2 linked regions of the Stegostoma tigrinum genome follow. The protein of the gene in region 1 interacts with the protein of each later gene in a pairwise test. Links are inferred from orthologs where the notes say so. Each region holds a gene or a part of one and is shown on either strand. Other genes may lie near its edges. The genes, in order: very-long-chain enoyl-CoA reductase-like and hacd2.

The links.
Region 2: the proteins of very-long-chain enoyl-CoA reductase-like (region 1) and hacd2 interact in binary tests that used the Homo sapiens proteins (3 or more experiments, as listed by UniProt). The link is inferred for Stegostoma tigrinum from reciprocal best matches to the Homo sapiens genes TECR and HACD2.

What each region holds. Positions count from the first base shown.
Region 1 is NC_081361.1:84,868,324-84,884,059, forward strand, and holds the start of very-long-chain enoyl-CoA reductase-like, read right to left. Parts: upstream 7,896-15,736; 5' UTR 7,888-7,895; coding exon 7,645-7,887; intron 7,550-7,644; exon of another isoform or gene 7,431-7,549; coding exon of another isoform or gene 7,392-7,430; intron 1-7,391. UniProt on the Homo sapiens protein: Involved in both the production of very long-chain fatty acids for sphingolipid synthesis and the degradation of the sphingosine moiety in sphingolipids through the sphingosine 1-phosphate metabolic pathway.
Region 2 is NC_081360.1:97,866,568-97,881,840, forward strand, and holds the start of hacd2 (very-long-chain (3R)-3-hydroxyacyl-CoA dehydratase 2), read right to left. Parts: upstream 7,273-15,273; 5' UTR 7,248-7,272; coding exon 7,120-7,247; intron 2,134-7,119; coding exon 2,016-2,133; intron 1-2,015. Other genes in the region: stam2 (signal transducing adapter molecule 2), read left to right, coding at 8,593-8,632. UniProt on the Homo sapiens protein: Catalyzes the third of the very long-chain fatty acids (VLCFA) elongation four-step cycle (condensation, reduction, dehydration, and reduction).

The sequences.
Region 1 (15,736 bases):
TCTGTAATAGTGTGTTTTCTGTCTCCTGATTTATTTCTTCCCCACATCTTGACTGCTGCTAGGAGGCCTGTACACAACTCTCATCAGGTCTTTCTTTATTTGTGGTTCCCTCAACTCTATCCACACAGATTCTACACCTTCTAACTCCATGCCACTTCTTTCTAGAGATGTGATTTCATTTCTTCCTAACAAGGTAACACCACCCCTCTGCCCATCTGCCTGTGTATCCTTGGATACTTAGTTCCTAGCCCTGATCCCCATGCAGCCATGTCTCTGTGATACCCACAACATTGTTTCTGCCAATTTCAATGTGGTCTACAAGCTCACTTACCTTGTTTCCTATATTGTGTTCATTTAAGTACAACACCCACAGTCCTATATTGACTGCCTCCTTCTCATAGTTGCCCCTATATCTGCTGTGCCTTAAATTAGATTCCTGACCATTTCCATCACATTTTGGATCAAGAAGTGCTTTCTGACACCACCCCTGAACAGTGGGGGTCTAATGTGAAGCTTATGCCTCCTTGTTCTTGACTGTCCTACCCAAAGAAAGTAGCTTCTCCTCATCTACTCTATAAATCCATTCATCACTAATCCTTCAGTGAGTCATCGTTTAGTCTGACACACTCAAAGGAATACAAACTTGTATTAATAGTTTGCAAAATTTAACACTTTTTAAGCAACAGAATCATTCTTGTAAATCTGCACTCCACTCTTGGAGTTAGTGAGCATGCTGGTGAGAAGAGGAAATAATTTAAGGGAGTTGGCCTCAGGGAGAAACTTGACCCCTTCTTGCTTCCTCAATAATTAAGTTCTGGATGAGAAGTCCATGGAGACCCTCTTAAATTGCTACCAATTATGGCCCAAAAATGCTCAATTTACAGCCATTTTGATGGGATCCACTCACTGTCTGGCCAGTAATCTATCTTCCTGACAGGTGAGGCAAGTGACTGGTCACCCACCTGGAAAACTGGCTCAACTCAACCACTGGGTTGTGGAGAGAGCTTCATTTGTTCCAATCTGGGGACCTTCAGGGTCAAGGGTGCTGCCACTGAAGGCCATTCCCAGCCCTAGCCTCTATATCCTTTCATCCCTTCTCTCCATCCCAAATCCTATCCAACATGACCAAAATAAACAAATCATTTGATATACTTAGGCCAGATTTTTGGAGAGTGACAACACTCTGCCCTTATTTAAATGAGAAAAGGGAGTCCTGCATTTCCGAGAGGAGATTCCAGAAATGTGGAAGAATCTTTCCTTTGTGACGATTCTTTTTGTAGCACAGGGGTAGTAAACCACATCTCCTTTTCTCAGCAGTCAACAGCCACAGTCTGAAATTTAAAGGTCCTGTCAGCCGCAATGTCATGGTGATGTTAGGGTGCTGGCAGGGTGTAGTGCCAAGTGGATGTGGTGCCAGGTGGGGAGAGGGTTGACGCAAGGTCAGCTCGAACCACAGTGGCAGGGGTTGGGGAAAGTGGAGTCTAGTAAAGGAGTGGGGAGAGGAACTGTGTTGGGAACTGGGGAGAGGCATCAGGTCCTGAAGTGGCAAGTGTTGGATCCAGGGTTGGTGGGGTTATCAGGGTCCACATGAGTTTATTGGGTTCCCTGATTTTGGTGATGGAGTGGGGGAGGGCAGGGGTTGTTAAGGTCCCTGAGTTTGTTGCTGGGGAATACAGGTGTCAGGATCCAATTTGGGTTAGGGTTAGGAGTGGGGGGATGTGTTAAGGGTCTAGGGAGGGGTGTGAGATAAGTATGGAGTCTCTTAAATAGGTCATCAGCAGTTAAGCTACGTAGAGCCATGGAGTCACACAGAACAGAACTGACTCTTCAGTCCAACTCATCCATGCCAGCCAAGTTTCCCAAACTAAACTAGGCCCATTTGCCTGCATTTGGCCCACATCCTTATAAACCTTACTTAGTCAGGTACCTGTTCAAATATCTTTTCAATGTTGTAACTGCATCAGCATTTCCCACTTCCTCTGGCAGTTCATTCCACATTCGAACAACCAATTGTGTGAAAAAGCTGCCCCTTAGTTCCTGTTTAAATCTGTATCCTCTCACCTTAAAATTATACGCTCTAGTTTTGTAATTAACAAGCTTATTGTTTCTGAGTAACTATTTTACTTCATTTCATCTGAACCTTTCAAAGTTTCTGACTTTTAGGGAGATTTTTTTAAGAGGGTTCCAGGCATTGAGGAATTGCCCAGGAATTTCCCACACTTTCCTTCAGAGTGTGCTACAATGAGGATTCTGCAGGGTCTTCGTGCAGAATTTTCATCTCTGTTGGAGTAAGGACTGCCTGGAAAAGCTGGCTCATTATTGCCATGGAGAGTGAAATGCACATTCGCCAGGCTGGTTCTCAGGGTGGTGCTATTGTCCTCAGAGGAGAGATTGGCTAATCGGAGTCTGGTTCTCTAGAGTTTTGAAGAATGAGAGGTGATCTCATTGAAACCTATAAAATAATCAAAGGGAAAAACAGGGCAAATGCAATTAAGATATTCCCCTGTTTGGGGAGTCTTTTAGAACCAGGGACCACAATTTCAAAATAATAGGGAAGCCATTTAGAGCCAAAATGAGGAGAATTACTGATTTTACTGAGAAGGTGACTCATTTGGAATAGTCTACTTCAGAGGGCTGTTAAAACTCAAGAATACATTTATGGTCAAGGTTGATAAATTTGTGATCATCAATAATGTAAGGGTTATGAGGATTTTGTGGGTAACAGGTGCTTATATTCAGCTATGATTGTATTGAATGGGGAAAACACTCAATAGACTGAATGGCGCACCTCTGTGCATGTGTTCTTATATCATCCAGATGGGGTCTCACCAACGTCCTATGGCTGTTCATACACCAGTCCTCTCGAGAGAAAGGTGGAGCTTTAGTTGGAATGTATTAGCTATAAAGAGAGGTCGGACAGACTTGGATTGTTTTGGCTACCACATTGGAGGCTGAGGAGTAACTTGACAGAAGTACGTAAAATCATGAGAGGCATGGATAACGAGGATAGTCAAGGTCTTTTTCCTAGAGTGGAAATGTCAAATACCAGGAAGAGGGGAGACATTTACAGGAGATGTGCAAGGAAAACATTTTTACACACAGAGTGGTAGCTGCCTAGAATGTGTTGCTGGGGAGGTGATAGAAGCAGATACGTTAGCAACATTTAAGAGGCATTTAGACAGACACAGGCAGAGAGTAGGGCGATGTGGACCACGTGCAGGAAGATGGGATTAGCATAGAATGATATCATGATCAGCACAGACATAGTGGGCTGAAGGGCTCTTTTGTTCAATGTTCTAAATGGGGGAACACAGTGGAAACCATGCTCCAAGGTTTTGCAACACAGTCATAGAGACTTTTGCACAGGCGAGGCCCTCTTCCTCAAGGAACAAGGAAAACTGTCCTGACAGACACTGAGAAGACAGTGAGAGCGGCTTGCTGTTGCATTCAATGCCAGTATTCTGGTGCCAAGAACCTGAGCACACCACAGGAAAAAGTTTAATGACTCATGAGTGGTTAAGGTTAGTGAATGAATTATTATCCTCATGCAATGTTCCATTCAGAATACCCCCTTCACTCATTTACTGACGTTCTCTATCAAGCATAACTCACACCTCTCAGTTGCAGCATCACGTCATCCTCATGCACTCAGTACAGCTGCAACTCACGTGTTTTAGTTTGTCCACAGTGATATATATTCCTTTATGTTAGATACATCATCCAAGCACATTGCAAACTGATTGGCAGACTTTTCTCTGCCTCACTCAAACAGAAAAATGTCCTATAAAACCGGAGGCAGCAACACCTGAAGGGCCAGGCATGGTTGTATGTCCTCACACCAATACAGGAGACAGTTCTCTCCATCATTGGAGCAGCCAGAATGGAGACCAGGGATGGGGCAGATGCTGTGCCTACTTTAGAAGGCAATATAGAGACAGCTCAGTAGGGAAGATAATGGCCTGATAGAAATTTTACTGGACTAATAATCCAGAGGCCTGGGTTAAAGTTCTGAAGACATGGGTTCAAATTCCACCACGCCAACTTTTGGGGTTTACATTAATGGATAAAATCTGGAATTGAAAGCTAGTTTCACAGTCATCATTACTGCAATCCCTTCAGGGAAGGAAAACTGCCATCTCATCTATTCTGGCCTACATGTGACTCCAGATCCACAGGAATATCATTGATTCTTAACTGCCCACTGAAATAGCCTAGCAAGTCACCAGTTCAAGGGAACTTAGGATTGGGCAGTAAATAGGGTCTATGTCAGTGATGTCCAAATCCCATGAAATAAAAAAGAAAATATCTCTATATTGTGAATTTTAATTTAGGAAAATGTCAGTTCACCTGCTTTGGCCTAAAAAGAAAAGAATGATTCTTGGATTCATTTTGTAATGTTAAAGTACAAGAAGAAACATTTATATTCCTGGTCTGCTTGCTTGGTAGGTTAAGGAGTGATTTCATTGATGTTTTCATAAATTATGGAAGAATATAGATTATCTAATTGATCTAATGAAGAGTCATCTGGATTTGAAAAGTTAGTTTGCTGTCTCTCCACGGGTACTGCCTGACATGCTATGATTTTCAATTTTTTTTGTTTTCACTTATCTATGACAAATTGTTTGTTTTAGGACAAAGGTGTTAAACATTTTACATGTTGTGAAGAAAAAGACTCAAAATCCAACTTGAGACAGTTTTAGATTTGTTCACCAAGTGAATTATTATAAACTTATAAGCTATCAATTCTACAATCCACCAGTGTCATTAAATGTCTTTTTTAAAGTGTATTCACAGGGTGTGGGTATTGCTGGTAAGGCCAGCATTCATTGCCCAGAGATTCTTGTGTCTCATATAGGCCAGGCGAGGTAGGAATGACAGTTTCCTTCCCTAAAAGGACATTAGTGAACTGATGACAGGATTTTACCCCATATTTAATCAATCATTTTCGTGATCATCCAGATTTTAGTTGAGTTTAAATTCCACTATCTTCCAGGGCAAGATTTGAACCCAGGCATCCAGAACATTTTCTGGGTCTCTGGATTAATAGGTTTAGTGATAATGCCACTGAGCCATCCCCTCCCAACTTATGTAACTCCCAAAAATGCACACCCATCAGTATATTTTACAAAAACATACAAATTTAACTTGTAAAATTAGGATATGCGAGATAGCAATTGGAATTAATTTTATATTTTGTCTAAAGTCCAAATGAGAGTCATACACTGTAATTCAATCTTGAATGTTTTGCTGACAGTTAAAATGCAATCCTGAGTACAATTTTGGTCTCCTTCTTTAAAGGGGGGGTTTCATTTGCATTGGTGGCAGTTCATAGAACTTTCACAGATTCGTGGAATGAATGGATTGTCTTGAGTTAAAATTGAAGAAGTTGGGCCTATAATCAATGGAATTTAGAAAAATGAGTAGTGATAGCTGAAATGATTCATTTTGATAGAAGATACAATTCTAAAGGAGGTGTTGGGCAGAGACCCCTGTGATGATATGTGCATAAGTCAGTTGATGAAATAAACAGAATCCTGGGCTGCACAAATAATGGTTTAGAGTCCAAAAATAAAGAAGAGTGATAAGCCTGTTTAAAATCCTGGGTCAGCCTGAACTTATGTATTGTGACCAGTTCTAAGCATCACACTTTGACATGGAAAGATGTGAAAGCAGTCAATAGATACAAAAAAGATCCAGGAGATGGCTCCAGGAATGAGGAACCTCAGCTACAAGATGGATTGGGAAGTTTGGGTTGTTGTCCTCCTAAAGAAATTGGAGCAGAGAAAATTTGCTGGAGAATTTCAAAATCATGTGGGGTCTGGACAGAGCTGATGGGGAGAAACTTCTTCCTCATAGAAGGGTCATGAACCAATTTAGAGCGAATGGCAAAAGAACCAAAGGCAACTTGAGGAACAAGAGGAGCAGAACGTTTAGACGGGATGCTAGGGAAAACGTTTTCATCCAGACAGTGGTGGGAATCTCGAACTCGCTGCCTACAAGGGCAGTCAAGGCAGAAATCTCCATAACATTTCAGAAGTACCGAGATGTGCAATACCAAGGAATATATGAGTTTATGGGCCAAGATTAGAATAATTAGGTGGTTGTTTTAGACAGGTACGGACACAATGGGACTTTCTCTGTGTTGTAGACTTCTACGACTACGATTCTAAGTACCTTAAGCAGCAAGTGATTAGGATTTGGGATGCACTACCTGCCAATGTGGATTGTTATTCAAAGTGAAGGAATGTACAGTGCCATGAAGGAGGTGCAATGGGTGAATTGCACTTCCAGAGTGATGACACATGTGATGAGTCAAATGGCCTCCTACTCTGCTGAAACCGTTTTATGATTCAATTCAACAGGACCAAAGAAGGTTCTGATGGGGTTTGACAGAATATATGTTAAGGGGATATTACCCCTCATGGGGAATCTAGGACCAAGGGAAAATTGAGGAACTTGCAGAAAATAGGGGTACATCTACTTCAGATTTCACTCAGAAGGTGATGATATTTTGGAATTCTCTACCCCTAAAAAGCAATGGAAGTTGCTGAATATGAAACCCATTCAATGAATATATTTAAGGATAAGTTAGCAGACTTTGGAGCTACAGGGGAGTGGAAGGCCTTGGAGAATGGCAGGAAAGGGGATTTGAGGTTATAATTAGTCGAACCATGATTCTTGGAGAATGGCAGGAAAGGGGATTTGAGGTTATAATTAGTCGAACCATGATTCTTGGAGAATGGCAGGAAAGGGGATTTGAGGTTATAATTAGTCGAACCATGATCTTATTGAATGACGAAGAGGCGGGGGGGGGGCGAATGCCTATCTCCTGCTCCCAATTCTTTCGCTGTAATGCTGCTTCCCTCGCCCCAAATCCAATTTTCTGGGAATCTCATGGTGCAAAGAAAAACCAATGAATGCCCTTGGCGTGAGCGAGTATGTCTGCACATCGGCCACGAGTGCATCACTCCAGTTAACAACACAACCTAAAACCCACCGTCCGAAGTAACAGCCCCTTTCACATCACAACAGTTTTCAGTGCAATTCACGATGGGTAACTGCGGAAGAACCAGAATTACTGCATCCACACTTACACAAATATTGACACCAATTAATAACACGAGCAATTGCACTTTCTGAATGAGCACAACATTGAGCACGCTCCAAACAGATATAAAATGCTGTGGCTCACTTTATTTTGACTTTTCGCACGCCTTTGTCATTCAATATAGCAGCAAACAATTCTAACTTGGGTCTGGTTGAGCACCAAGACGTACATTACTTTCAACTACACAGTGAAGACCGATTCCTCAGCAATAGATGTTTAAATGGTTCTAAGCAAAGATTCTCTGGTGCAGGTCTCTTACTACCTTAGCGGTTAACCCTGTTACCTCGAAGAAAGTGGCCCGGCTCATGGCTGCAGGACTCATACCGAGGGTAAACACCCGGACTCCCCTCCGAGTGCACGCTGTGCAGATCTCAGGAGCAGCTCAGAGGATCAGCAAAGCTAGACCTGTTTGGCAGCGAAACGGACGCTCAGCCATCTCCCCTTTGGGCTCTGGGAAACTCTATCCAAGGGTGGAGCTAAGAATGAAATGTGACCAAGAATGGGAGCACCTCCCCCCATCCCACATACACACACACCACGGTCTCAATGACTCCACGGGAATTTAGCGCCGGTCTTCGATTCCCATTGCTCCACACCCAGGGACAAGCGATTCGCACGGTTGTTGCCACTGGTGAGTTCGAACAGCAGCTGTGTAGCTCCAAGGGGTCGATTTGCTCTCCATTCCAACCCGTCCTGTCTCTGGATAGTGGCGTTTGCACGGGAAACTTATCCCTTACTGGGATCCGAGCGGTCACCACTCGATTGTATTCGAGTGACATTTCACAGGATCGTGTTGAAAGTTCAAAATTCACCTCGTCGTTTTTCTCCCAGGGGGAACCTTCGTTCTCAAACCGCCGTGTTCTGCAACTAGAGCAAAGGAGCTGAACGTACTGCAGATACTCAGCAGGTCTGGCAGCATCACTGGACGGAGAAACTCCTTGACCTGTCCGTCTTCCCTGGACTGACCTATCCCCTCCCTACCTCCCCACTTACACCCTCTCCACCTATCTTCTTTACTCTCCATCTTCGGTCCGCCTCCCCCTCTCTCCCTATTTATTCCAGTTCCCTCCCCCCATCCCCCTCTCTCTGATGAAGGGTCTAGGCCCGAAACGTCAGCTTTTGTGCTCCTGAGATGCTGCTTGGCCTGCTGTGTTCATCCAGCCTCACATTTTGTTATCACGGAGAAACCATGTGCCTGGTTTGGGACTCTTCCTCAGAACATGGTTAAGGTTAGAGTTTGTAACAAGCTTGAAGTGAAAAGTGGGAGATTGAGAGGTTGAAGAGCCAAAGGGAAGTTCTTGTGATCCCGAGAGAATAAATGACAAAAGGTTGGTACTATTATGCCAACTGGAATTGTGTAAGAGACAGCTGATAAGTCTGCAGTGGCGATATTGACCAATGCTTTCTAAATTTCTGAAGATTCAGTCACCTTTTTGATTCTAATTTGACTTATTATTGTCACATGTACCTAGGGACAGTGAAAAGTTTTGTTTTGCACACAGTATAGGCAGACCGAACCATACAAAGACAATACGCAATCAGAGGAGGAATGCATAGTTATGTCTGCAAAGAAAGTGCACATTAAACAAGATCAACTTTAGATTTGAAATTTGAGAGGTCTGTTCAGGTGTTTAATAACCGTGAGGGAGAAGCTGTTCTTGAACCTGGTGGTTGGTAAGTGTGTTTCAGCTTTTGTAGCTTCCACTTGGCAGAACAGGTTGGAAGAGATTATAACTGGTGTGGTATTCACCATCTGAGACAGAAAGGCAAGATTAGAGAAATCAATGTGAAATATTTTAACATTAGTTTTGATGTTTTCAATCTTCTACACTCAATACAGTTAAAATTGCCGTGGCCCTAGTTCTCACATCAGTGCGAGGACTAGGCTCGCTCTCTCATTACAGAGTCATGACTGGCTGTTGTTTAACCTGAGGGTTGCCATGCCTCAGGTGAGGGGATAGAGCGGAAAGGAAGTCCTTTATGGCTACTTCAACTGATGCAGGAATTGAACCCACACTGTTGGTATTACTTGAGTCACAGATCAACTAACTGAGCTAACCAAGCCCCCAACACACCCACTGCCAGAGCCAGGAGAGATCAGCTTTCATGAGGGTTTGTAATCCACGCCCATGGCAATATTTTTAAGTTGAGCAGCTAAATTCCTCATTGTTCTGGATTTCCCAAAATTGTGTGAGCTCACAGCGGCTAGTTCCCCATTGATACCATTATTTAGCGACACCCAAGGAACATAGAAACACAGAAGATCACAAACAGCAAGATTTTTATTCAACTAAAACAAACATTTTCTTGTTTTACTGAGCAAATGGCACCTCAAAGGGTTTCAGTCACTAGAAACCAATAACTAAACTATGGTATAACAATTGCAGTGGAACTGATTTATGATTTAATCGTGTCTTTTTATATATTCATGGGATGTGGGCATCGCCAGCTAGGCCAAATTTGTTTCCCATTTCTAGTTGCTCTTGAGAAGGTGGTGGTGAGCTGCCTTCTTGGGCTGCTGCACTCCATTTAGGATATGTTCACCCTCAATACCACTGGGGACGGAGTTTCAGGATTTTGCCTGAGGAACATTGAAGGAATGACAATGTATTTCCAAGTCAGGATGGTAAGTGTCTTGCAGGTGGTGGCGTTCCCATACATTTGCTGCCCTTGTCCTTCTGGGTGGAAATGGTCATCGGCTTGGAAGGTGCTGTCTAGGGAGCCTTTGTGGAATTCTGCAGTACATCTCGTGGGTGGTACACTCTGCTGCTACTGAGCATCTGGGTAAAGTAAGTGAATGGCACCACATCCACACCCAATCAGGCAAGCCACTTTGTCCTAGTCTTGTTAAGCTTCTAGAGTATCATTGGAGCCACAGTCATACAGGCAAGTAAGGAATGTTCCATCACAGTGGATACTGATTTACGGTAACACCACTGGGTGGATTGAGTGACGGTAACGTCCTTGAGTGTCAAGGTGCAATGGTTACATTGTTATGTTGTTGGAGACAGTACTTTCGTAGTACTAACAGCAAGATGGTTAATTCCTCCTTGCTCAATTGAAGTCAGATGGGAAATATCCTTCTAACTAGGCGCGCCCATACTCTCAACCACTTCTGTAACTTTATCGCTGCTCAAAAAAATGAACAGCATCAATTCATCACATGTCTGTAGCCAACTGGCAATGCAATGAATGGTGAGTCTGTTTGTCAACATTGGTCTACAGGAGGTGTGACTAGCAGCAGGTGAACAACTGCCATCCAGAAAATTAAAACAAGGCTTGGTCTTGCACCACCAGCTCCTTTGTCATTTAATCTGTCCTATCACCCACCATAACTGGACCCTCCCATTTGCTCTTATGCTATTCATACTCCTTTTACTGGCTTCAAACCTCAGTTCTTATGAAAGTTTCTGAATGTAAAAGTGCTCGAGCACAAAGATCAAGGGTGACACTCCTGTGCAGTACTGAAGGAATGCTGCTTTGGTGAAGATGTCATCATTTTAGGTGAGATATTGAAGGATATTCCTTTCTGCTAGCTCAGGTAGATGTCAAAGAACCCATGGCAATATTTTTAAGTTGAGCAGAGCAGTTGTTCCCAGTGATAATAGGAACTGCAAATGCTGTCCATCATGGGCCTCCTGCAGTGCCACAATGATGCCACCCGAAGGTTGCAGAAACAGCAACTCATATTCCGCTTAGGAATCCTGCAGCCCAATGGTACCAATGTAGATTTCACAAGCTTCAAAATCTCCCCTCCCCCTACTGCATCCCAAAACCATCCCAGCTCGTCCCCACCTCCCTAACATGTTCTTCCTCTTACCTATCCCCTCCTCCCACCTCAAGCCCCACCCCCATTTCCTACCTACTAACCTAATCCCACCCCCTTGACCTGTCTGTCCTCCCCGGACTGACCTAGCCCCTCCCCACCTCTACTCACCTCTACTGTCTCCATCCCCACTTCTTTAACTTGTCTGTCTCCTCTCCACCTATCTTCTCCTCTATCCATCTTCAATCCGCCTCCCCCTCTCTCCCTATTTATTTCAGAACCCTCTCCCCCTCCTCCATTTCTGATGAAGGGTCTAGGCCCGAAATGTCAGCCTTCCTGTTCTTAAGATGCTGCTTGGCCTGCTGTGTTCATCCAGCTCTACATCTTGTGATCTCAGTTGTTCCCAGTCTCCAGACTAACTTTGACCCTCAAGCAACATTGCAAAAACAGATTATTTGGTCATTATCACATTGAAGCTTATGGGTCTTTGCTGCATGCATTTTTTTATTCATTCATGGGACGTGGGCATCACTAGCTAGGCCAGCATTTAGTGCCATCCCTAATTGCCCAGAGGGCAGTTAAGCATCAAGCACATTGCTGTGGATGTGGAGCCACAAGTTGGCCAGGCCAGATAAGGGCAACAAATTTCCTTCCCTGAAGAACGTTAATAAACTAAATAGGTTTTTCCTGACAATCAGCAATAGATTCACAGTCATCATTAGACTCATAATTTCACATTTTTTAAAATTTAATTTAAATTCCATCATTTACCATGGCAAGATTTGAACCCAGATCCCAGAACATTAGCTGTGTCTCTAGATTAACACTCCAGTACTAATCTCACAAGGCCATCACCTCCTTAGATATGAGCTGGCGTACTTCCTGCATTACAATAATTACTTCACTTCAAAACTAATCTTTTGATAGTAAAGAACTTGAGTACTACTGAAAATATTTTCATTACAATCATCATTACAATTCATTGCAAATACCAAAGTAAAGGGAAAATGACATTCATACTGCCAAGAGGAGAGTGCTGATTGGTTGGCAGATGGACTCTGATTCATTCAGGTGTTACCATGGAAAATGCACCAGTTAATGATGACTGGCAGAAAACTGTCAAGCTTTGTTTAAATTTTAAATAAGGCAGATACATTGTAAAGTGGCTGCACTGTAAAAGGAAGAGGAACGGAAACTATTCCACTTCTCCACAGTTCAATAGTGACCTTTTATATATGGCACATGTTTGGGCTGATAAATTCATGAATGTGCATAATACTGTCACTGTAGTAGTTTAAACACATGATGATATTAGCAAATGGCACCTGGCAGCACATTTACCGACCACACGAAGACCCAGTTAAAAACATATATTCTTCTGTCTCCCTGAACAAACAGCAGTCTGATTTTAATGTGTATTGTATCGCCTGCAGCTGAAAAGGGAGACAAAGGAAAAAAGGATGAAAGAAAGAGAGAAATAAAGGAGATAAAGAAGGAGTAAAAGAAAGAGAGAAGAACAACAAGAGAGGGAGATCAATGCTTCTGATCAACCATGGCATTGCTTTGAGAAGTGAACACTACCACCTGTTTCAATTACAAAATAAGTGATGACCATTCTCTTGTTCATTGTTCACAGTCAAGATCAACGTTATTTTTCCTTTACTTTGGGGTTTCTTGTGAATTATCCCAATGAGGGTAAGACCAAAAGCTTTAACAAATTGTTTGTTTCAGCAATACTTTTAAAGACTCATTTGGCTTAATACACTAAAAGGTATATGATGCTCATGAAAAACACTTTATAAGTCTTTCTTAGATAACAAAGTGTGTAGCTGGATGAACACAGCTTTTGTGCTCCTAAGATGCTGCTTGGCCTGCAGTGTTCATCCAGCTCCACACTTTGTTATCTTGGATTCTCCAGCATCTGCAGTTCCCATTATCTCTGATCACAATTATAAGTCTTTCTTTCCTTCTTTCTCCCTCTCTTGCTGTTTTTCTCTCTTTCTTTTTCTCCTTTATTTCTCTCTTTCTTTCATCCTTTTTTCCTTTGTCTCCCTTTTCAGCTGCAGGCGATACAATACACATTAAAATCAGACTGCTGTTTGTTTAGGGAGACAGAAAAATATATGTTTTTAACTGGGTCTTCATGTGGTTGGTAAATGTGCTGCCAGGTGCCATTTGTTAATATCATCATGTGTTTAAACTACTACAGTGACAGTATAATAAAATGTGAGGCTGGATGAACACAGCAGGCCAAGCAGCATCTCAGGAGCACAAAAGCTTTTGTGCTCCTGAGATGCTGCTTGGCCTGCTGTGTTCATCCAGCCTCACATTTTATTATCTTGGAATTCTCCAGCATCTGCAGTTCCCATTATCTCTGATACTATTTTAACAACAGTGACAGTATTATGCACATTCATGAAATTATCAGCCCAAACATGTGCCATATATAAAAGGTCACTATTGAACTGTGGAGAAGTGGAATAGTTCCCGTTCCTCTTCCTTTTACAATGCAGCCACTTTACAATGTATCTGCACAATAGGGATATAAATATGGGACAGTAGTTAGCTCATACTCCTACTTTGAGACTGATCTTTACATTAACAATGGTTCCAATATTAATGTTTATTTTATTCACTCATGGGACATGGGTATCGCTGGCTGGGCAGATTTAATTGCCTGTCTTTGTTGCCCTTGGGAAGGTGGTGATGAACTGCTTCTTGAACCCCGACAGTACATATGCTGTGGGTTGGAACACTAGCCTGATATTTCATGGATCCCATCCAATGACATTACCACCACACCCGATGGAGAGAAAATTGGAGGCAACCATCACTGTTGTAGCTCCACACTACAATCTGCATGTTGCCACAGTAACTTAGAACTCTGAGTTATTTATTACACAGCATCACAGTTTAAAAATATAATAATGTAATTGTATTATTTGAAGATAATTCAGTTTATTCCATTTGATAAACAGACAAATGCTTAAATGAAATTATGCAAAATACTGCAATAAAATTTAATAAATCTGTTGTTAAAAGGATTTAACCCCCCCACCGTCTCCCCTGACGCTTTGTTGTATTGAAATCATTGTACATTTGTGTGAGTTAATCATGACAGGTTGAATGTTTACAGTTGATGCTTCCTTATTCCATCCAATAATTTTAATTGTGAATAACTTTGGAAGCGTCTGGAATTTTTTTAAAATTCATTTATGGGATGTGGGCATTGCTGGCCAGGCAGTATTTATTGCTGATCCCTCATTGCCCAAGAGGGCAGTTCAGAGTCAACCACATTTCTGTGGATCTGGAGTCACATGAAAGCCAGACCAGGTAAGGATGGCAGTTTCCTCCGCCAAAGGACATTCGTGACCCAGATGGGTTTTTCCTCAACAATTGATAATGGATTCATGGTCATCATTAGATTCTTAATTCCAGATATTTATTGAATTCAAATTCTACCATCTGCCATATCAGGATTCAAACCCACGTCCCCAGAACATCATCTAGGTCTCTGGGTTAACAGTCCAGTAATAATACCACTAGGTCATCACTTCCCTCTGCACCTGCACACATCCTCTGCTCCACGCATGACAACAAATAGAAACTGATCCAATGTGCGAAAGGAAGTAACTAACCAAGTTATGACAGCACAACAATTAATTTTCATGAAACTGCAACATACAGATTTATTAAATTTTATTGCGGTATTTTGCATAATTTCATTTGAGCATTTGTTTATCAAATGAAATAAACTGAATTATTTTCAAATAATACAATTACATTATTATATTTTTAAAACTGTGATGGTGTGTAATAAATAACTCACAGAGTCTAAGTTACTGTGGCAACATGCAGATTATAGTGTGGAGCTACAACAGTGATGGTTGCCTCCGATTTTCACTCCAACTCATAGTTGTCCATCAATCGCACCCACTTTCATTGCCTGCTACTGTTGTGAGTTGGAAGGATTTGCAATTTTATATCAATTGGTTATGCTATGAACACGCCTTTCTTGGCAATCAAACTGTGGGATGGGACTTGAACTTCTATTCCAAGGCAAGGCCACGGCACCATATGGCTGGGTTCTGATGTATTTCAAGGCTGAGAGAGACAGATTTCTAATCATTAAGGGAATCAAGTGTATTGAGGATAATGCAAGAAAGTGGAATTGAGAATCAGCAATGATTTCATTAAATGGTGGAGATGACTTGTTGGGCAGCATGGCCTACATCTGCCATATGTTATGGTCTTATGGACCTCCTTTTAAAAGTATAGAAGACTGTAAAAAAAGGTGTTATCCTGAGTGATATATTTAGATCACGCCATATATTACAAACACAAAATAATAACTAAACATTCTTCCTCAAGGGTCCATTCAAATGATGATGTATAGGAAATTCTCTAATGAGAACATGCAAATGTCAGCTTATATTAATGTCAGTAATGCCGATAATTGACCTACTTCTCAAGTGCGAGTTTACTTTATAACATTAGAATTGAATCGGGGCTGTAGTTGTGTAATCAACAAATGATAATAACTTATTGTATTCAAAATGCATCTTTAAGAAGGTGAGACACCCCAAGGGATTTCACAATAGAGTTGTCAAACAAAAGATTTTTTTCTATTCATTCGTGAGATGTGGGCATCACTGGCCGGCCAGCATACCTAGTTGCCCTTGACAAGATGGTGGTGAGCTGCCTTCTTGAACAGCTGCAGTCCTCCTGCTGTGGGTTAAACCACAATGCTATTAGGGAGGGAATTCCAGGATTTTGACCCAGTGACAGTGAAGGAACAGCGATATATTTCCAAGTCAGAACGGTGAGTGGCTTGGAGGGGAACTTGAAGGTGATGGTGTTCC
Region 2 (15,273 bases), on another chromosome or scaffold:
CCAACCATGCATGCCAGTCAACCCCATCACAAAAAGCTCATCTCAAAGCACGATGTCTAAACCACCTTTGAGTCAGAGGCAAACAGCATGGAAATAGGCCTTCAGCTCAACTTCTCCACATTGACCAGGTTTCCTAAACTGAACTAGTCCCATTTGCCTGTGTTTGGCCAATATCCCTCTAAACCTTTGCTACCCATGTCCTGTAAGTGTTGTGACTGTACCCACCTTACCACTTTCCTCTGGTGGCTCATTCCATGAACACACACTGCTTTGTGAAAAGGTTGACCGAGGTCCCTTTTAAATCTTTCCCCTCACCTTAAACCTACACCGTCTAGTTTTGGACTCCTCTACCCTGCGGGAAGAAAAAAACACTTGTCTACTTGCCTTATCATCTATTCCTGTTGTGATTTTATAAACGTCTATGGAGGTCAAGCCCAACCTCCTACTTTCTAGGGAAAATGTCCCAACCTTTCGATGATCTCCTCAGAACTCAAACCTTCCAGTTTCGGACTCTTTCTGATTTAATAGCATAAAGAGGGTGACTGGAGTTGCATTAATACTGCAAGCATATTCCAACCTTACGTACTTGCATGTCCATTTTTAAAAAATTCACTTGTGGGTTGTGGACATCATTGACAAGGCCAACATTTATGGCTGAACCCCAATTGGCCTCAGTGCCTTAAACCATACAATGCATAGTCCAACAGGTTTATTTGAAGAGATCAGCTTTTGGAGTCTTGCTCCTTCAAGTAGCTTTTATATACACAATCTGTAAAGCCTAACCCCTTCCCTATCTATGTTGTTCTCTCATCCATCTACCTTGGCCACTTTCCCATAAATCTCAGTCAAATTTGACATTGTTTCCCATGCATCAAGCATACTGACTGTCATTAATTCACCCTTGACTTTCCAAACGCATGTAGTCTCTTGGAATCGCCTCTGACAACTTACCTCCATTTATGTTAGGCACATGAGTCTGTAGTTTACCGGCTTTTTCTTGCAGCCTTTCTTAAAGCAATGGCACAACATTAACCACCTTCTAGTCTTATGGCACATTACCCTTGTCAGTCAATGATACAAACATCTCTGCTAGAGGGCCCACAACTTCATCCCCAGCTATTCAATGTCCTGGGACACTTGATCAGATCTATCTGCTTTATGGCCTCCGGCACCAACTCTTCTGACCTACTGCAGCTGTTGTGGGAATTAAACAAGATTGAATTCAAATCAAAGGTCACAATAGGGGTAAGATGACATTTTACAAGCTAGTGCTATAAGGCACATTTTAGCCCTGAACCTCGAAAAACCACACCTGCTCCTTCCACACCTGCAACCCCTGCCACTTAGAAGCACTTTCAAGGGCTTGTGCCAGTGGAAGTGACTAGAGAGGGATCCAAGGCCTTTTATCAGCCTTGGTAGCAGACTAGAGTGCAAACAGATTCCTGTAGACAGGTTAAGACCTGGGACTGAAGACCTCTTTATTGTACATAATGAAAAAGGTAGGTGACAAATGCATATCTGATCACAGGGCTGTAAGTGTTAATGGCTTTCTGCATGTATCAGACAGTTCAGATAGTCAGTTCTGTTTAGCCAGCCTAAAATAGACTCTCTCAGCTTGTCTAACTCAAGCTGAAGTTAACCTACATACCTGGGGCCTCCTGTGGTCTGTGTAGATTAACTATAACATAGGCAGATGCTAACCAGCAAAGCCCCAGCAGCAAAACTGGTATGCAATTGAGAGCTCTTGCGCCACCCAATATGGGCAGAAACATTACACAATCCAAGTTTGATTCCACGATATACATACAAGATGGCTGATGTGCTCAAAGGGCTACATCCATTGAGTAATAAGCCATGCTGAGACTACCGGAGGTACAACAGAACTGCTGACCTGCAAACTCTACAGTAATAGAATGGCAAATGAAATAATTGTCACAAAAACGTTTAAGGCGTTTTGCCAAAGGGGACCACAGCCAGAACAGGTCTCCCTAAAGGAGACCATATGTCCTACCCACCTCCAACAATGCTCCCGTCTGGAAGAACTTCAATGGCTTCTCAATGGAGTAATAAAGGCCATGGTATGTACCCCTCGCCAAGCCAGCTCGGATCAGACCAACTGCGATGACCAACCATCTGGAAAAAAAATTTCAGTTAAGTCACAGTACTGCAACATCATTCAGTTCAGCAGCAAAACTGAGGACTCAGCCACTAATGGCACCAAATCCCTCTTTCTTACCCCAACTTGCTCAGCTACAGTTCCCATTCCCACAAATGTTACGTTCACACCACCTGCAGCTCCCCTTCACGACAGTCCCAATAGTTTCATGCCCGCTTCAACACCAATGACTTTTTCTTTATACTTATGGGATGCAGGTGCTGCAGCAACATCCCTAATTGACTTTGATTGGAGTATTTTGTTTGGCCATTCCAGAGGGTGGTTAAGAGTCAACCACTCATTACTGTGGATCTGGAGTCACAGTTAGGCAAAGGCGACAGATTTCTTTCCCTAATGATCAGATGATCATGCGGAATCTTAAAAAAATACTAAGAACACAGGCCATTCCAGCCTGGTATACCAGTGTACCCAGAACAAAAGCAGAAATTGCTGACAAATTCAGGTCTGGCAGCATCTTTGGAGATAAATCAGAGTTAACACTTTGGATCAACTGACCCTTCCACAGAACTGGCTCAGTTCTTTTGATTTTTATACCTGTGCCAGGTTTTCTGAATACCACCATTCATTTCCATCACGAGAACCTTTGCTACTCCAAGGTGAAGAAATCAGTTTTTTTTAAGTTAGCCATATAATTGCTGCTTCATCCCTAGCATCATGCCACTAAAATTCATAGAATCCTAAGACATGGAAATTCTTCCTAAAAGTGCAGCCTCCAGAGTTGTAAAGAGAGCTCCAGACACCTAACCAGGGACTTGTAAAGGTTTGTGCATGGTAGTCATGCCTTAGCTGACAATTCTGACATTTTGGTTCCTAGCTTATATATTTGCCCTGACACCTTCAAAAGATTTGCAGCTTTTTCCTAACTTTTATCCCAAGATTGCCTGGACAGCTCCTTCCACACCTGCAACCCCTGCCACTTAGAAAGACAAGGGCAGCAGGTACATGGGACACCTCAAAGCCCCATACCATCCTGACTTCAAACTGTATCACACTTGCTTCATCGTCACCAGGTCAAAATCCTAAAACTCTTCTGGAGAGCGCTTAGGGTGCACCTACATCCCTGTGGCCGTCACAGATCAAAAAGGCAGCTTTCACTAGTGCAATTAGATGATAAATAAGTGCTGGACCAGGCAGTGACAGCTATATCCTGATCAGTGATCCAAGTGTGGTTAATCAGGGCTCTGCACATACCAAGGATTCAATCCCAGACTTCCAAACTGGTGGTCGGGAGCACAGAAATCACAAAACGACATCTGGAGTTCCAGGCTCCAAGGCAACAATGACGGCTGGTGAGTTCCAACTCCCCTCACACTGGACTTCTCTCTCCTAATGCTTGCTTTCATATGCCTTTCTCCACCCCCACCCCCCAAAGTTTTAAGTGAGGTGGCAGGACAATTTTCAAGACATGAAATGGGCTCAGAGTAGAAATTTAAGACACTGCTCGGCTCTCATGCCCAACCCCATGAAATGTGTGAAAAAGAGTGTGAATGTCACTTTTCAGTGCGGTTGTCCAGGGCTTTTGTCTTGTACTCAGAACAAAACACAAGAACATCATATTTTAAACCTTTCATCAACACATCTTTCTTTTCAGTGATATTCAGGTCATTTACGTAATGACAAATGTTCCATTAGCCTTTTTGGACATTATTAACTGTAACACATCTTCAACCACATCATACCCACTATATTATTCTGCTGCCACAGCTTCCCTAGACCTCAAATTGTGGAGCTGAATGAACACAGCAGGCCAAGCAGCTCCTCTTTTGTGCTCCCGAGATGCTGCTTGGCCTGCTGTGTTCATCCAGCTCCACACTTTGTTATCTTGGATTCTCCAGCATCTGCAGTTCCCATTATCACTTCCCTAGGCCTCAATGTTTAAGACTGCAGATCAATTGCTATGAACTTCAAGTCAAAGAGACCAATTACTCTTGCTGTGAGAGGCAGCAGATTGGCAGGTGCTTGTTAGGTTTCCATTCCAGATCAGAAAGGGATATTCAGTACTTTTCATTTGTCTTTCAGCTTTGTTTCTCCAACACTGCACAGCAACTGAGGTAGAAGGCACAGATATTAGGACAAGAGTATTCTCTTGGCACTTTCCCTAAATACACTGATTTGAGGACACAATGTATGAGGTCAGCAAGACTGGAGTAAATGCAGAGGGTAATCAAGTCTGAATTTCAGGTCTGCTTAATACGAAAATAAAATTCATTCTGAAGCTTCCAACTCACTTTGAAGTGTCTTTAATCAGAGGCAGGAAAAAACTAATCAAACATTAACAGAAATACAACTACCAAAAAATGCATTTTAGCAGATTAGGAAAACATGTCAAAGATGAAAGAAGACTCCCCTAAACATTCAGGCAGTTGTCTGGATTCTTGATAAGTGAGGAGTGGAAAGGTTATCAGGGACCACTGGTAATGTGAACTACAAGTTACAATCAGATCAGACATGTCTTGTTAAATGGGAAGGGGAGCAGGCTCAAGGGGCTGAATAGCTTAATCCTGCTCTTAAATTACAAACTTCTACACAGGTATGCAAGTTCATCCACAAACAGCAACTGATATGACATTCAGTTATGGATTTTTAAATTCAGATTGCAAATACCATTGCTTGACAAAAATCCAAGGGATATAGAGTAAATTTAGATATGTGGAGCTCAGGTCACTGATCAACCATAATCTCAATTAATGGTGAAACAGTCCCAAGTGCAAAACAGCTCTTTTTGTTCCTACATTGCCTCCATCCTCCCAAAATTGGTGTCCAATTCAATATTTAACCTCAAGAAACATCTAGAAGATTTTATCCATGCAACTGCTTGTTGAAACTTACTGCATGTGAATTGACTGCTGTAGTTTCCTACAGTCATTACATGTCAAAAATCAGGAGAGATTCCAATACCCTATAAAAGCCTTTATGCTTTCTAAGTAAAGAGTGTTCATATCCTTCAAAAGCCTTTTTAGTTTGTTTGACAAACAGCCTGTTTTTACTGCACGAGGCAGCTCTTTTACCCATTGTGTCCACACCAGTCAAACCATCCCATTTTCCAGCACTCATCCCTTAGCTTTGTGTGCTTATGGCATTTCGTGTGTTTATCTAACTAGCTCTCAAATGCTTTGAGGGTTCCCACCTCCACTAACAGTAGGCAGTGAGTTCTTGACCCTCTACAACCTTTTGGAGAAAAATATTCTCAAATCACCTCTAAACCTCCAGGTCCTTACCCTAAAATTGTGCCCCTGGTTACTAGCCAAGGGGCAAGTATATTCCTATTTACACTACCTTTGCCCCTCAGAACTACGTACACCTCAAAATCAGGTTCCACACTCCACACCACCCTCCCCTCCATCCTGCAAGCCACACTCCCTTCACCAAAGAAAATAGCCCAACCCTATCCATGTTACCCTCATAGCTGGATTAGTACAACCCTGGCCACATTGCATGAGAGGGGCTGTGGAAGAAATTCACAATCACATTCTAACCTATATTGCAGTGACCAGAATTGCACAGCATTGTTACTGATGAGGCCTAACAAACATTACATAGATCATAGAATCCTTACAGTGCAGAAATATACCGTTCAGCTCAACAGGTCTACACCAACCCTCAGACCCATCCCCCTATAACTCACCCGAGTTACACATTCCTTGAGCACTATTGACAATTTAGCATGGCCAATCCACCTCACCTGCACATCTTTGGACAGTGGAAGGAAACCTGTGCAAACTCCACACAGGCGCCCAAGGGTGGAATTGAACTTGGGTTCTGGGTGCTGTGAGGCAGCAGTGCTGACCACTGAGCCACCCCAAGAAAGCTCATTTGGGAATTAAACCTTGCATGTCACCATTGTGCAGTACCTTAAGTGAGACTCATACCCATAGACCAATGAGCCTCACCTTGATATCCCATATGCCTTTAAAGCACTTTATCTACCTCAGTCTACTGCCTTCAAGAATTTAGGCATGCATACCAAGGATGTTCAATGAGTGCTCTTTTGCCTTGTTGCTTTCCAAAAAGCACTCCTCACACTGATGTGTAATCAGCATATAATTACAGGTTACTGCACTGCATACAAAAGCTTCAACTGAGAGTGCTATAAATATCAAGACATCTTTTAATAACCTTGAACATTACCATCCCTATCTCCCTCGAGGAACATAAAATACCATTTCTGGCATATACAGCAGGGGAGCTCTCAGACAGCTGAATGGGGAAAAAAGTCATTTGTTTGTTTCAATCCAAGGACAGGGAGTCAACTTGCTCGCTGATATCTGCCAACTGAGAAGAGACATTTGCTCCCAATCTCTAGAAAAATACACACCACACCCCTAGTTTGCTTTCACCATTCCCCACAAAGCTTGCCGACTTAGGTCAGCAGGAAACTCAGTCTGTACCAAAGATCTGAAGAGTACAGTAGTGACAGAACGAGATCAGTTGTGTTTTGTAATATGGGAGCGGAAAAGCAGAACAAAGTCCACTGTCGCATCACAATGGTTTCCGGCAGCAATTTACACATGGGGGTGGGGGTCCTTATTCACTAATGCACGTGGCTTAGGTGGAAGGGAAGAAAATACATTTCTTCCTCCATTGCGATATACGAGCCGACCCATGTTTCATTTCAAAAGGAACTTCTTTAAATAATAATCTTTGCCCTCTCAGTACCACTGTAGTCCCTCACTGAGGAACCATCCATAAATAGGAAGTGATCCTGCAAGAGAAGGGAACACGGTGGGGGGGGGGGGGGTTAAATAGACTGCTGCTTTCGATTTGCAAACTGCTTTCAGTAAGCGAGCTTACTGCATTATTATAATGTTAATTAACGCAACACTGAAGAATAGCAGTGGATTTCAGACGCTTATGGAAAGAAATGGTAATTTGCCAACAGTGCCTGACCCGGATAGCTAATTGGGATCGGTACGGAACACAGCTTTAAAAATGTAAGCTCTCACCCGGCCGTCATTACCACGTTGTAGATGACCATGTAAGCAGTGGCGAGGGGTCCCGGACCCCTTCTTTTCTTCTGCGGCCCTTCATGAACCCCACGTTGATGTTCAAGCCCACTCCCGACCGACGCCATGGTGATCAGTCCGTCACTGAACTGCCGCGCGTGCGCAGTATTTACCACCACCTGGCCCCACCCCCTTCTGAAGGATTGGCTGGCTGCCGATCCCGCCTCCCGCACGTCTCCCTCGGTACTGCCCCCAAGATTGGCTGACCCTGAAATGCCACTCATGCATTCCCTGATAACAAAGTGTGAAGCTGGATGAACACGGCAGGCCAAGCAGCATCTCAGGAGCACAAAAGCTGACGTTTCGAGCCTCTCTGATGAAGGGTCTAGGCCCGAAACTTCAGCTTTTGTGCTCCTGAGATGCTGCTTGGCCTGCTGTGTTCATCCAGCTTCACACTTTGTTATCTCACGTTAACTCTATTTGCTCCTCCACAGCTGATGCCAGACCTGCTGAGCTTTTCCAGCAACTTTGTTTTTTGGTCCTCCCCGATACTGCCCTCTGCCAGAACGACCTTCCATTGCCGTTCCTGCGTTCCACCCCCTCCACGCTGCCCCCTGGTTTGGCTGACCTTAAATTGCCCCTCGTACATTCTTCCCTCGATGCTGCCCTCTGGACTGGCGGACAGCGAATTTTTTTTGCTGATGAAGGGTCTTGGCCCGAAACGTCATCCTTCCCGCTCCTATGATGCTGCATGGCCTGCTGTGTTCATCCAGCTCCACACTTTGTTATCTCTACACCTTATTATCTCGGATTCCCCAGCATCTGCAGTTCCTATTATCTCTGAGCGAATTTCCCCTCCTGTATCCTTCCCTGCAATGTCCCGACATCGGTACATGATGCTGGCTACCCACTGAATTACCATACCTCCTTCGGTGCTGCTCCCACGAAACCGGCAAATTGAGAATTCTGTCTCACGGTCATCCTCCTATGCTGCCCCCTGGACGGGCAGACAGCGAATTGCGCCACCCGAACATGTCAATTTACTGCCCCCTAGTTTGGCTGACCCCCCCCCCCACTACAGGAGGGCCGAGTGACGACCGCCTCCAATGGAAGAAAGTGGGGCGGGGTCAAAGAGGCGTCACCTGACCAGCGTGAAGTTATTATTTATTTTATAATTTCTTCACATCCCCCGATCACAAACTCCCTTCACCTCCTCCTGCGACGCCATTTCATCTCCCGGAGAAGGGGTGGAGTGAAAAACTGAGAATATTTATCCTACTTTCAGTTGTGAAAGAAACTGAGACCGTAAGGGGCAGATTTGGTCGGAGGCCTCGGCTGTTAGGATGTTCCAGGGGCTGGCGAAGGAGCGACTGTTACGGGCTTCGAGCTGAAGAGACGCCGAGGCCTGACGGCGGCCTATCTCCAGAAGGCTATTTCTCACTTAAAAAAAGTTTTCCTACTGTAATCCCAGCTATGCCTTTCTTCGCCACCAACCCCTTCGACCAGGATGTCGGTAAGTTATGCCTGTCAGGGTTGAGGGATTTTAAAACCGGCCCCGGGCTTTTAAAAACACACACTTTTAATTATATAAATGACACAACGCTTCTAAATGAGCTGATTATATCAGCTTGTTGAGTACCAAGGGTCTCCGGGAGAAAGGAAATGTTGCTCAGGGAATGATACAGCATTCAAGGCGGCCGTTCGGTCCCTCCTCCCGTGAGGCCCCCCGATTTTAGACCACCCACCCCCGCCAACAATCCTGCAACACCGTCCTCTTGGAACCCCAGGATTTGTCGGTTTGTTTTTGAGAATTACTGTTGAATTTGCACCCTTTCAGCCACTTGTTGCGTCAGAAAATGTTCCCTAATTTTCAAGTTCACAAGGATAAAACCTGATCTCTTTACCGTTCTGATAACTGATCCTTCTGTCACTCAAAGCTGCGTCTCATTTGCTCCACTGAAATCTTTTGAGCGGCTCGATCAGTTCTCATCTTAGCCTGTCAAATAAAAAAAGAGTTGTTAGAAAAAGTGATAGAGGTTTGGAACTCTCGTTCACAAATATTAATTTATGCTAAATCAGTTGTTAAAATTTATCTATGTCAGATGTCAGATTTGTTAAGCAAGGATATTAAGTGATTTTGGGCCTAAGATGAGTACGTGAAGGTAGGCTACAAATCAATTATAACCTCATTGAATGATGGAACAAGCTTGAGGGGCTGAATGGTCTACTCCTGTTCCTGTGTTTCAAACGCTAGAGATGGAATGAAAGCAGAATGTGCTGGAAAAACTCTGCAAGTATTTAGTTTTCATCTTAAATGCCTCTGCTCTTGGCACAAGATGAGTATACAGCATTGGATATGAAGTAGGAGGAGTCCATTCAGCCCTATAAGCTTGCTTTGCTATACAATAAGATGGTGGCTGTTCTGATCTTAGTCTGAGCTCTATGTTCCTGTCTGACACTTCTGCCATTACCCCTCCCAAAAACCCACAAATGCCCTGTGGTTCAAAAATCTATCTTGGTCTCAACTGTGTTCTGTGATAGCATCTACACTGTATTGGGTAGAAAATTACCAAGATAAGTAACCCTCTCAGAGGAGATATTAGTGACAGATGGAGTTTAACCCTAAAAAGTGTGAGGTGATACATTTTGGAAGGACAAACTTGAAAGCAGAATACAGGGTTACAGAAGCGTGGAGGAGCAGAGGGATCTTAGAGTTCATGTTCACAGTTCCCTGAAAGCTGCCACCCAGGTGGATAGAGTTGTTAAGAACGCATATGGTGTGTTAGCTTTCATTTAACAGGGACTGAGTTCAAGTGCCGTGAAGTTATGCTCCAGCTATACAAAAGCCTGGTTCGGCCACATCTGGCGTATTGTGTCCAGTTCTGTCATCTCATTACAGGAAAGATGTGGAGGCGTTGGAAAAGGTGCAGAGGAGATTTACCAGGATATTGCCTGGAATGGAGGGAAGGTCTTATGAGGAAAGGTTGACAGCGTTAGGGCTTTTCTCTTTAGAACAACAAAGGATGAGCGGTGACTTGATTGAGATGTACAAAATGATCAGAGGTATAGATAGAGTGGACAGCCAGAGACTTTTTCCTAGGGTGGAGGTAGCTATTACGAGGGGCATAGTTTTAAAGTGAGTTGAGGTAGATATAGGAGAGACGTAAGTTCTTTACTCAGAGTGGTTAGGGTGTGGAATGCATTGCTGGAGTGGGTAGTGGAGTCGGCCTCATTAGGGGCATTTAAGTGACTGTTAGAGAGGCATATGGATGATAGTATAAGGTAAGGGTGGAGGTTAGATAGAATTTAGCATTAGGGTAAAAGTTTGGCACCACAGAGTGGGCCGAAGGGCCTGTATGTTCTATGTTCCCTCAGTATTTTAAGTGGTCCCTTTGTTTGATACAGTGCAACCAAATTCTAGATTTACTCCATGAGGAGAAACCAGGCCAGCTTCTAGAACTAGGAATGGAACTTGACAGCATATTGTTTTAGATGGCCTGCATTTGCAAGCTCCCATTAATTGTATTTTCTTTTTTCCTTTATCTTGGATTTTGATGTCTTAAGCTTAAAAGAAACTATGCCAGTAGTTAAGCCACACATGCATCCCATCTGTAAATGTCGATTTCTTTGGATCTTGGGTCCTTTTAAAGAACAAAGAATGATACAGCACAGGAATAAGTCCTTCGGCCATCCAAGCCTGCACTGCCAAATTTGCCCCTCCATTGCTGAAACTGTCTTCACTTGCAGAGTCTGTATCTCTCTATTCCTTTCCTATTCATGTATTCGTCCAGACACTACTTGAAAGCTGCTATTATTTCTGCTTCCATCACCATCTCTAGCAATGCGTTCCAGGCACTCGCCACTCTGTGTGAAAAGCTTGCCTAGCACACCCCTTTTAACCCCCCACCTGCCTTGAACCTTGAACCTTGAACCTGTTCTTTTGCCTCCCTCAATATTCTGGCTTAGATCCCTTCAGGACCCAGGGACTTATGTACTTCAATATTTTTTAAGATGCCAAACACCTTGTTAATAGCAACCTGGCTTAGAAACTCGACAGAACCTTCCCAGGGATCATCCTCCGCCAATTCCTATTGTTTGGTGAATACTGACACACAGTATTCATTTAGGACCTCACTCACCTCTTCTCGCCTCACACGTAGATTGTCTCCTTTGCCCTTGAGTAGGCCAACCCTTTCCCTGGCTACCTTCTTACTTTTGTTATATATTATCAATAAGCCTTGGGATTCTCCTTAATCCTGTTTGCTAACAACATTTCATGACCTGTTTTAGCCCTTCTAATTCCTTGTTTAAGTTTTTACCGACTTTCCTTGTATACTTCATCAGTTTCCATCCTCCTGGACCTTATATATGCTTCCATTTTCTTTTTGATCAAGGTTGTAACATTCCTGGTCAACCAAGGTTTATGTAATTTGCCATGCCGATCCTTCATTCTCACAGGAATGTGCCTCTCCTGAACTCTTATCAACTGCTGTTTGAAATATCCCCACATGCCTGATGTAAATTTACCATGAAACAGCTGCCTCCAATCACAATTCTCCAGTTCCTGCCTAACCAGCCTTCCTTCTCCTTCTCCTCCTCCTCCTCCTGCTCCTTTGATGCTGCTTGGCCTGCTGTGTTCATCCAGCTCCACACCTTGTTATCTCAGATTCTCCAGCATTTGCAGTTCCTACTATCTCTGTAGTTCACCTTCACCCAAGGACTGCTATTATCACTATCAATGAGTATCTTAAAGCTCACGGTATTAGGATCACTACTCGTAGAATGCTTCCCTAGTGAACTTCACTGTCCTGGCCAGGCTCATTTCCCAAAGCCAGGCCTAGTATAATCTCTTCCCTTATTGGACTGTTCACGTACTGTGTCAAGAATCCCTCCTGAATGGTTCTTACAAATTCTGTCCCATCCAAGCACCTAGCATGTAGTGAGTCCCAGTCAATACAGGGGAAGTTAAAATCACTCATCACAATAACCCTGCTGTTTTTGCATCTTTCCAAAATCTGTCTACATATTCTCTCTTCTATCACCTGCTGGCTATTGAGGCCTGTAGTATACCCCCAGCACTGTGACTTCATCTTCCCTGTTCCTGAGTTCCACCCATATTGCCTCGCTGCACAAGTCCTCTGATGTATCCTCCCTTAGTACAGCTGTGCGATACTCCTCGAACAGTAATGCATCACCCCACCCATCTTCTCTCCCTTTCTATCACACCTGAAACATCAAAATCCTGGGAAGTTCAGCTGCCAATTCTGTCCCTCTTTCAGCCAAGGATAAAATAGGACATACGTACAGAAGCGGAAAAGATATGAAACATCTTAAAATTATGGAAGGCTCGATTAATGTATACTAAGTACATCAAGCAACCTCCCGCAACAAGGAAGTCAGGGCAGTGAGTGTATTCCTCAGATGGAATTTCTCGTCCTTGTATGATTACTGGTGTTTGGAATTCTCTACCTCGGACATCAGTGAAAGCTGGGTCATTGAATCTAATCAAGGCTATGTTAGATGGATTTTTCATTGATGAAGGGGTCATGGGGTCTGCGAGTTATGGTGTTGCAGGCAATGAAAAAGGAGGTGGTAGCATCCCAACCTCTGAACCAAGACGCCAAAGTTCAAGTCCCATCTGTTCCAGTGGTGCATAATAACATCATTTGAAGAGCTTGAACAGAACATACCCTCAGGCAGAAAAGTGATCATTGAATAGTGTACCAGGTTGAGAGACTGAATGACCCACTCCTCCTAATTCACATATTTTTCTCCAAATCTCTTCACTGAAAGTCTTAATCCCTGCCACCAATATCTATTTGCATGTGCTTGCGACAGATTTCTACTTAGCCATGTTTGCAATAGATGTCCTTTGTACAGAAACCGTCGTTTGACGCTGTTCCTGTGTTATAGAATCATAGAGCCATAGAGCTGATACTTCAATCCAACTTGTCCATGCTGGTCAGATATCCTAAATAAATCTAGTCTCATTTGCCAGCATGTGGCCCATATCCCTCTAATCTCTTTCAATTCATAGACCCATCCAGATGCCTGTTAAATGTTGTTATCGTACCAGCCTCCGCCACTTCCTCTGGCAGCTCATTCCGTACACACACCACCCTCTGTGTGAAAACATTACTTGTTAGATCTCTTTTAAATCTTTGCCCTCTCACCTTAAACCTATGCCCTCTAGTTTTGGACTCATGCACCCTGGGGAAAAGACCTTGTCTATTTATCCTATCCACATCCCTGCCATGATTTTATAAACCTTTTGTAAGGTAACCTCTCATCCTTGACACTCCAGGGAAAGTAACCCCAGCCTATTCAGCCTCTCAAACCGGCCAACCATAGCAACATTCTTGTAAATCTTTTCTGAATCCTTGCAAGTTTCACAGCATCCTTCCTAAAGCAGGGAGACCAGCAATTCGTCCCTATTCTTCCTCCCACCTATCCCTTCCTCCCACGTGAAGCCACAACCCCATTTCCTACCTATTCATCTCATCCCACCCCCTTGACCTGTCCGTCCTCCCTGGACTGACCTGTCTCCTCCCTACCTTCCCACCTACACTCACCTTTACTGGCTCCATCCCTGCCTCTTTAACTTGTCTGTTGCCTCTCCACCTATCTTCTCCTCCTCTATCCATCTTCGATCTGCCACCCACTCTCTTCCTATTTATTTCAGAACCCTCTTCCCCTTGCCCATTTCTGATGAAGGGTCTAGGCCTGAAACGTCAGCTTTCCTGCTCCTAAGATGCTGCTTGGCCTGCTGTGCTCATCCGGCTCCACACCTTGTTTTCTCTAGACCAGAATTGCATGCACTATTCCTAAAATGGCCAAACCAATGCTGTTTACCTGCCTTATCAAACACAGAAATGGCATTAGTAAACTTCTTGTACAGAATATCAGTTTGTCACCCCTGCAGGACTTGGGGCCAGAAATGGATGTAATACTCCAGCCAGGGCCTAATCAATGAGGTTTAACCTAACTTTCTCCCTTTTCAGCTCTGTTCCCTCTCGTTACAAAGTCAGCTAGTGCCATTAAACATAAATGCATGTGCCCCCCTTTGCGGACAAGCATAACTTTGTTTTTTAAAAAAAAAAGCTAAATCCTAACTCATATTTAATTTTAAATTTCCTTTGACAATTGATGTCTAGTATACCCTCAAGTCCTGGCGTAGATATGTTCATAAGATCGTAAAAAATAGGAACAGATGGAGATCATTTGGCCTGCCTAGCCGGCTTTGCTAGTAAGTTCATGGTTGATCAGATACAAGTGGCCTGAATACCCATTCCTTGCTCATAACCTGACTCGCTCGTCAATCAGAATTCTGTCTGACTCAGCCTTGAATGTGCAGCGCCATATTCAGTGCTTCAGTTCTCCAAACTCCTCTAGAAGAGAATTCCAAAGACTGATGGTCCTCTGACCAAAGAAATTTCTCCTCATTGCTGTCTTCAATAGGAGACCACTTATCTTTAAGCTGTGCTCAAACCCGTCACCACTTTAGATTTCCCAACTGGAGGAAACATCCTCTCAACATTTAACCTGATGAGACTCTCTGATTTCTGTTTCAATAAGATTACCGCTCATTCTTCTAAACTGCACTGAGTACTTTGGATGTTTAAGTTGCTGTACTGTGACATTTATAGTGACTGACAGCAACATAATCAAAGCTTTAGTGTTCCCCCAAAAAATTTTTCTGAAACAAAATCAAGCAAACGCTGATTTAAACTGAAAGAATTGTGGATGCTATAAATCAGGAACAGAAACAGAAACAGCAGTTGCTGGAAAAACTTTGCAGGTCTGGCAGCATCTGTGAAGAAAAAAGTCAGAGGTAAAGCATCGGGACCTGAAACATTAACTCTGATTTTTTTTCTTCTTCACAGATGCTGCCAAACTCTGAGTGAGTGTTTGAGTGAGTGTGTGTCTGTTATAGTTTTTGGTGAGGTTTCGGTAGCTGAGGACTAAGCTATGACATGCTCTTGGCACAGTGAAATTCCAAGATCAGCAAGAACCAGGATTATAGTTATCTAAGAATTGTGGAGCACTTGCATAAACTCAGATTTTCACATCCTGTTGCTGAACCAGGATTCTGAGGACAGAGGAAGTGGGTGAACAGGACTTGAGGTGAGATCAGAGAGGTACTGTTGGGCTTTG